Schizosaccharomyces pombe: one gene and its partner. The protein of the gene in region 1 interacts with the protein of each later gene in a biochemical or structural test. Each region holds a gene or a part of one and is shown on either strand. Other genes may lie near its edges.

Region 1 (4,957 bases):
CGATTGACAAAGAGTAAACGTTTAATATTATATTATCCCAAAATTTAAAACAAAACCTATTATACAAGAGCCCCAAACCTTCTTATACCGAAAGACCAGTTCTTTCCTAAACAATACCTTGTTTATCTTCTTTTGTAAATGCAAGCACTTAATATGGGAGGGAGTTCTTCACATTTCCCGTGTACAGGTACTTTTTTGAACTCAAACAGAGTAAACATTTTGTTTTGAAGCTGAATGGACTTAGTTTCAAAGCCTAATTTTGGAAGTTCTTTAGCAAAAACTTCTCCACTCTTATCAGAGAATCTGCTTTTGATTTCAGCAACCCAAAGTAAACCACCGACTTTAAGAATACGATAAGCTTCTTTCAAAAAAGATTGCCAATTGGTGCCCATAAGACTTAAACAAAATACAGCAATATCGACAGTTTCGTCAGCCATTGGAACATTCGCAATATCACAGGCTACCACATGTTCATTGGGAGCAACAAGGTCAAAGCTGTGCACTTGCAAAGAACGTGATTTTCTAAATGTAGAAGCTATTTTAGCTTCTCCGCAACCGAGGTCAGCAATTACAATATTGTTTTTCTTCTTTGCGTTTGAATGCTCAAATCTGATCTTTAAATGTTGAATGAAAATATCAACAGGATTTTCCGGCCAACCTTCAACTTGATATCGAAAACCAGCGTGATAAATATCAAACAAATCTGGATTTTCCTTGAACATTTGTACAGCTTTGTCACTTTCCGTAGTGTACAATTGTTCATTTATCCATCGAAAATTGGCACCATCTAGTTTATCTTTCATTTTTTGTTGAAGAGACGTTAACTTAGTATGCTTAGCATCCCCCTTGTTTTTCTCTTTAATAGAAGGGACTGATTTTTCTTTTTTAATCTCGCTTTTCAGGGAATTGTTTGTGGTAACCGACTTTGCCTTTTTTAAAACTTTTTCGTTGAGCTTTTCGCCTTTATCTCCTACATTCTTTCTCTCACCTTTCTTTCTTTTTTTTTCTTTTCTAGATTCTTTCGTTTGGTCTGATGCGCTTTTACTTACTGGACCTAAGTCCCAATCTACTTTAAACATGAAGTAGGGAATAAGATTAAATTTGGTTGTAAGAAAACTTCATCCTACGTACGTCAAACCAATGAAACCATAAAAGTTTCTAAGTATTAAAATAAATAACATTCATTTTTTGTGAACGTAAAATTAAAATAACAAATACTTGAAAAAACTAATCTTGAAATATAAAACTCAGTTTGATTAAGCAATTACGCATATATATAGAATTTTTACTTTCTGATACAAAACACATAAAAAATGATATAAAACACATTAATTTGAAAGAATTCGTCTACAATAGTAGAACAGGACCGATCTTGAAAATAATCATTTCCCTAATTTTTATCATGACTAAAATCATTGATTATGTATATCCAATCTCCCCGAAATCGAATTAAGTCGTTAAAGGAGAAAAGAAGCAGCTACATCTAAATCTCCATTCGCAGCGTCTAACGCCTGCGCAGCCTCTAATGGATCAAATCCCATACTGACTAGCTGTGCAATTTTGGAGTTCAAACCGGGGTCAGTGGGAGGATTTACCAAGGAAGGGGGATTGGAAGATCCCTCATTGTTGGGTGCTACGCTTTCTTTGGTACCAAGACGAGTGCCACTTTGTGGATTAGGTGAAGAAGCGCTCGCCTTACTTGCAGGTTCAATACCTAAACCGTGTGCATTTGCAGATGGCTCCACATTAGCCAGCAATTTTGGAATTTCAGATTCTCCAAGAAAAGGAATTTCTTTTCCATGAATCCGAAGAACGTTATTTTCTAAATCTATACAAGCTTGATAACGGCGTAACATATCAAGACCAAGTAGCATATCAACATCCCGACCTTCAATAACAGTAAATCGACATGGAAGATATAAATCGCCAATCTTTAAAGGTGCACTGTGAACACAACCTAATATTTTAGCCATTCCTACGCCCTTAGCGACACCTTGAAATCTAGTGTCAAGAAGCCTGGTAAGACCGCACTTTTCAGCGCAATCAGCAGACAAAATGGTAGCTTGAGCACCAGAATCCACAAATGCTTTCACCTTATGACCGTTAATCTCAACGTTTACAAAAAGCATATAAACTTGACCAAACACTTCAGGATGGTTTTCTATTGCCGATTGCATATTCTCGGTCACGGCATTTTGACGAATCTGCTCTTCAATACGTCGTTGGACTTCAACATCAAAGAGGTCATCTTCCTACAAAAATGTTAGTAAATCACCTTCGAAAGCCCTTTATTTATTGTGTCCATTAAAACTAAATTATTGGACTCAGCAGTTTATACGGGCGCTATTATGCGAAATTAAACGTACAGAAAATGAAGGCATTCCCATCGAATATGTAGAAGAAGGAATCTGCAATAATTGAGAAGCATTAATGGACTGCCATGTAGTAGCAAACGCATTGGGATCATTAAGGACAGCAGCTAGTTGAGGAAACTCTGTGCGTATTCGATTTAATAGAAAAGGAGTTGCTAAAATCGTTTGACGAATATTTTCTGGTGTTAAATTATTCATTTTTGTGTTTTCTTAATCACTCTTTGAGGTTATGGTAGAGGAAGGACCTGATTTGGCAGCATGACACGACTTGACTAATCGGCCACCCATATCAATTGCCATCCATAAAGGAATGGCCAAATAAGGAAAATAAAAACTCATTATCATCCATTTTTTTTCAGCAAATAACTCGAACATGCAGCACCATGTCGTAGTAAAAGCATGCACCCCGTATATGAGAATTGCAACCCATAAAACTGGATCCCTCGCTTTCTTTCGTAAGCGTAGAGAAACCCAAATAAAAAAAGGAACTTGAAAGAAAAGTTCTGAAGAAAACAATGCAGTTTTCCAAGGCGCAGGGATTAAAAGAATAGGGTCTTCATATGTAGATAAATAAAAGCGTCGCAAACCAGAAAGACAGCTTAAAGAGCCTCCAAGCCATTCAGTTATAGGTAAATCAACAAATAATGCTGCAGCTAGATGGCTTACGAAATAATAGTAATACAAGGTATCCATGTGAAGGCGTGTGGTTGGCAATTTGTATATCTCACTACTATAAATGCGGCGTAATGAAACCACTTTCATGAACCCAAAACATTGATATTCCTCATTCAGAGATTTTGAATTGCTATAGAAAACAATTTTACAATTTTAAACGGTGACATTGAAAGTTATTAGTATTTTTAATAACAACTGCTTCTCTGCGTATTCTATATACGTTACTTAATAATGTATTATCGTGTTTGTTTTAGAGCACTACGTCTAAATAGTTTTATAAAAACAATACGTTAGATGTTACACTTACAAGCAATAGGAAGACGATTGTTTAGTTTCATATTGGTGGTAATCAGTATATCGAGTAATTTTGTGTGCCAATATTAAGTTAAAAAGCCTCAGGCAGATTTCATTAATTAGTTAGTATTACCGCTTAATTGCCTTCATGTACATGATAATGTTAGACCACATTACTATGAAATTTATCAAGTATTAAAATTTAAATGAAATTCAATGTTATCAGTTCTTTTAAAAAAAAATGATGCAATTAGCAGCCTAAATATAAAAAACAGACTCGTCACATTTCGTACTTAAGTGTGCATAATGTTGAATGGTTTTTAGAATGCTATCTTTCTCTAGATAACTAATAATAAAATCATGAAATTCAATTAATTTGATGTAAAAACATTGTTCTCCCACTCTTGCTATATTGTAAGCATTTGAATTCCAAACTTCCTGCCAACAACCTCAGCGAAATTTAATTCACACCTTTCGAAAAGTTGATCGTTTGTTTTGGAAATTGTGTTATAGGGTCTAAAACAAGCGAACATAAAAAGCTGTTTGTAAAAGGTGCGCCCTTTATCAAAACCTGATTTTCTTTATTCGTTTATTATAAACTTTCATTAAAGACCCAAAACACAGACAATGTTTCTTGGAAAAGCTATAATTCTAATACTATGGATTTTTCTAGCTTTTACAGGTCTTCTAGCTATACAATACTATGTTCCTAATCCTTACTTGGATGAAATATTCCATATTGCACAAGCTCAACGCTTTTGTAGAAAAGATTGGGATTGGGATCCGGCGATTACTACACCTCCTGGTTTATACTTGGTTTCAGTCGCACTCAGCCCATTTATAGGCTGCAGCAATGTATCTCTGAGGTTAATAAACTGGCTTGTAGGCGTAATTGGACTGCCATGGCTTATAAACGATATCGTTTCTCTTTTGAATAATAGGAAAGGAGATGTTGTTACCTATTTCGCTTATACGTTATCGTCATTACCTCCTTTATGGTTTTTCTCATTTTTATACTACACTGATATTGGTAGTACTTTTTTCGTCCTTCTTGCTTATGACTTTGCTCTCCGAAAGTCTGCTTTTTCAAGCTCTGTGTCTTGTTTTTTTTCTCTATGGTTTCGACAGACAAATATCGTTTGGATGGTCTTTATTGCAGTTACATATTTTGCTAGCAATATGTCTTTCTTCAATCCCCACTTAGCTGAAGCAACTTTTGCTGATGTTCTTCTTACTATAATTTCATTCTTAGGGGTTTTTCTTAAAAATTTAAGAAGATTTTCGTGCCCAATTCTATCCTATGGTGCAGTATTTTGTTCCTTCCTTGCATTTTTGCTTTGGAATGGCAGTATTGTCTTAGGCGACAAATCTCATCATCAAGCAAGCATTCATTTATCTCAAATAAATTACTTTCTGTGGTTTTTCTTTTTCTTTTCTTTTCCCTCTTATATTATAAAATATCTAATGTCCCATTCTCGACGCTCCAAACTTTTGTCCGCAGTCTTTTCTAAAAAATCTTTTTTGATCGTTTCTGTGCTTTTGTTGATAGCGCATTTTAATACGTACGTGCTAAATTGGTATTGTTTAATTTAACTAACGTTTAGAATTTTCCATCC
Region 2 (3,677 bases), on another chromosome or scaffold:
ATAACATTGACAGGTTTTGCACTAACTTAATTAGTAAAATCGATGCGAACATTATGTTTTATATCGCTATGCTAAGACAGATTTAGTATAATAAAACAACAAAGTAAGCTTATTTTCAATGTAAAAAGAGATGCTTTTTTACTGAGGTTTCAAAGAGATTTCTTTTTCAGTGCTGATTTCGGGTTGGGATTTACCGGTGAGAATATCCTTACAACTAGGTTATTGCATAAGTAACGTCCCGGTGAATTGTTGACATTGTACGATTGTGATAACTGGGGCTGACTTAGCACATTAGCAATTAGAAAGGTAGTAAGAGATCCTCGTCTACTTATATTTTCGTATATCTTAGTAAAAACACGAAAGGATTCTACCAAGGATCAAATATACATAGCCGAATTGCTGTCCAAAAAATGGCAAGAATGTATACTTTTATTAAGTACCGGCTTTACTATTTTTAATTTACATAACTTGATAGTAGAGTTTTCAAAAATCCAAGTAACCTTAGAACCATAATCAGGAGAATTAATTATTTTAATGATCTTATTGTAAGTAACCCACCGTTTGTACGGAAACACTTATGTAAATACTAGGGATGGGTTGATACTACTTGTACAATTGTAACCTGGAACAGCTCAAAGTAGATGAGTATTCTAATATTTCAGGTTGGCGGTTAACTTATTGATTAGCAAAATATATTATACTCCGTGTGCTACATAAGAAATTAGTAGAATTCCATATGAATAAGAAATCTGCGTTTTAAAACCTAACATCTATATAAATTATTCATTAAAAAAGCATTAAACTATGCTAATTATCGCTAAGAAGCATGAGCGCAGCTTACTCCAAATTCCCAGTCACAAACCTGACCCACATCAAAAAAAAGTATAAACATCAAAATTTACAAAGAGCACATATATCGTAGACCATGGTATCTTTCGGATTATGCTTCTAATGATGATAAACAATACTTTAAGGATGTAAAACGATTTTTAATAATCGTTCGTATTGTCGACTTTTTTTTTATTTTCGTCTTTTAAATCGCACATGATTTTATAGTCTTGTCATTATTTTCTCATTCAACCACAAAGGAAAGCACATTTATGAGCAAATTTCATTCAAATATTGAAATTGGAAAAGATAATGTTGTTTAATTGTTCTTCAAATTGTGGATATCTATTTGAACGGCCTAGGACTAGAAAAATGTTAATTCCTCCTTTGTAGCGACACATCTACACTGAAATGGACAGTAACTCTGCTGATAGAAGTTAGTCGTTATCTTTCCTATTCGTACCAAGCATCTTATCTTTTAAGACATGTTTACTTTTTATTCGTTCGTTTTAAAGTACAACAATATGCTTATTTGACATGGATTTATCAACAGCTACCCAACTACCTATGCACTAGAAATATGTCTCCCAAAGTGTCTGTGCGTAAACAGATATTTATCCTATTTCATTTTGTACTGTTGCATCGTTTCCTCTCGTACTAGTCGTTTTGCAAAGCCACGTTAATGATCGATATGTTTGAATTGCAGACACCATTTCACATTGCGATAAGGGGGATTCCTGTATTTTTTTGGTCACTGACTAATTTTGACACCGAGGTGACATCATATCGTCTAGGAATCTTTGTTGCGTACACAGTAGACAACATGGCATACGAACGAATCGATGCAATGTATATTTATAAACACAACAAAAATTTGAGTGCATATGCTTCAATTTCTATACATAAATGTATTTAGAAAAAACTATCGTATTGGAGATTGTATTTAAATTTTGATTTTATGAATGAGTGAAAAATGAGGAGCAGTGGCGACGTCTATATAAAGGTGGCTTCCCCCCTTCATTACTTTGCATTTGTACACACACAATCTCTACCATGCAGATTTTCGTCAAGACATTAACTGGAAAGACTATTACATTGGAAGTTGAATCTTCCGATACCATTGACAATGTAAAGAGCAAGATTCAGGATAAGGAAGGCATTCCTCCTGATCAACAACGTCTTATTTTTGCTGGTAAGCAACTTGAAGATGGACGTACTCTTTCAGATTACAACATTCAAAAGGAGTCTACTCTTCACCTTGTTCTTCGTCTTCGTGGCGGTATGCAAATTTTTGTCAAAACCTTGACTGGTAAAACCATTACATTGGAAGTTGAGTCTTCTGACACCATTGATAACGTAAAGAGCAAGATTCAGGATAAGGAAGGCATTCCTCCTGATCAACAACGTCTTATTTTTGCTGGTAAGCAACTTGAAGATGGACGTACTCTTTCAGATTACAACATTCAAAAGGAGTCTACTCTACATCTTGTTCTTCGTCTTCGTGGCGGTATGCAAATTTTTGTCAAAACCTTGACTGGTAAAACCATTACATTGGAAGTTGAGTCTTCTGACACCATTGATAACGTAAAGAGCAAGATTCAGGATAAGGAAGGCATTCCTCCTGATCAACAACGTCTTATTTTTGCTGGTAAGCAACTTGAAGACGGACGTACTCTTTCAGATTACAACATTCAAAAGGAGTCTACTCTTCACCTTGTTCTTCGTCTTCGTGGCGGTATGCAAATTTTTGTCAAAACCTTGACTGGTAAAACCATTACATTGGAAGTTGAGTCTTCTGACACCATTGATAACGTAAAGAGCAAGATTCAGGATAAGGAAGGCATTCCTCCTGATCAACAACGTCTTATTTTTGCTGGTAAGCAACTTGAAGACGGACGTACTCTTTCAGATTACAACATTCAAAAGGAGTCTACTCTACATCTTGTTCTTCGTCTTCGTGGCGGTATGCAAATTTTTGTCAAAACCTTGACTGGTAAAACCATTACATTGGAAGTTGAGTCTTCTGACACCATTGATAACGTAAAGAGCAAGATTCAGGATAAGGAAGGCATTCCTCCTGATCAACAACGTCTTATTTTTGCTGGTAAGCAACTTGAAGATGGACGTACTCTTTCAGATTACAACATTCAAAAGGAGTCTACTCTTCACCTTGTTCTTCGTCTTCGTGGCGGTCTTTTTTAATCATCCTTTGTAATTGACTAGTTCAACTTTAACGTTTTTTCAATTGGCTGATTTAGTTATCCATAACTATACAATGCATTATAGCAATATACTATAGCTTTTTGCTTTATTTATGTTGGTATAATATTATTGACTTAATTTAGTATATTCTTAATGTGCGATCCATGTTTGTATTTATAGGCAATAGTGAGACCTGATTTCACCGATGTAAAGTGTTATAGCGTTTGATTAGGGAAGAGGTTAAATTTCGTTGAGTAGTAGCTAATTTCAGCGTTAAACTGTTGTCGTCCCTTACGTAGATAATCAAAGCTGGGCGAAGCGCCAAGCTATATTCTTCTTATTAATTATACCGAACAAGCGTTACTTAATTTATTTATTTCGACGCTTTTCTAAAGGGAATATCTTAATTATTCTATATCTCCTTTTTCCATGTCACTGAAGACTGCTCTTTCTAACTCATGGCTTACAATAAATCTCTAAAGTCTTTAGTATTTATCCTTTTGGCTTCTCAGATCGTATTTGTATTATTCCTTTGCTACGGAAAAAGTTCTAGAGAACTTGGAGTGAAATGGAATTCAGATATTCGATCTTGGATGACCAGTTACGTTGGGTTTAATGGCGAGACTGCGGCCATATCAGAAGAACAG

Evidence for each region. Proteins that work in one complex are often made in the same cells at the same time.
Region 2: the proteins of mud1 (region 1) and ubi4 form a complex in vitro, tested with the Schizosaccharomyces pombe proteins (one study listed by BioGRID).

Annotation. Positions count from the first base shown.
Region 1 is NC_003424.3:1,136,743-1,141,699, reverse strand, and holds mud1 (UBA domain protein Mud1), read right to left. Parts: upstream 2,583-4,957; 5' UTR 2,571-2,582; coding exon 2,367-2,570; exon of another isoform or gene 2,253-2,366; coding exon 1,458-2,252; 3' UTR 1,375-1,457; downstream 1-1,374. Other genes in the region: rRNA methyltransferase Rrp8, read right to left, coding at 123-1,079; protein ema19, read right to left, coding at 2,583-3,134; dolichyl-phosphate-glucose--glycolipid alpha-glucosyltransferase Alg10, read left to right, coding at 3,969-4,903, 4,946-4,957. UniProt on the Schizosaccharomyces pombe protein: Recognizes and binds polyubiquitin chains. Acts as a linker between the 19S proteasome and polyubiquitinated proteins via UBA domain interactions with ubiquitin for their subsequent degradation. Aspartic protease.
Region 2 is NC_003423.3:1,043,771-1,047,447, reverse strand, and holds ubi4 (protein modifier, ubiquitin), read left to right. Parts: upstream 1-1,855; 5' UTR 1,856-1,881; coding exon 1,882-3,030; 3' UTR 3,031-3,177; downstream 3,178-3,677. Other genes in the region: ecm14 (carboxypeptidase), read left to right, coding at 3,489-3,677.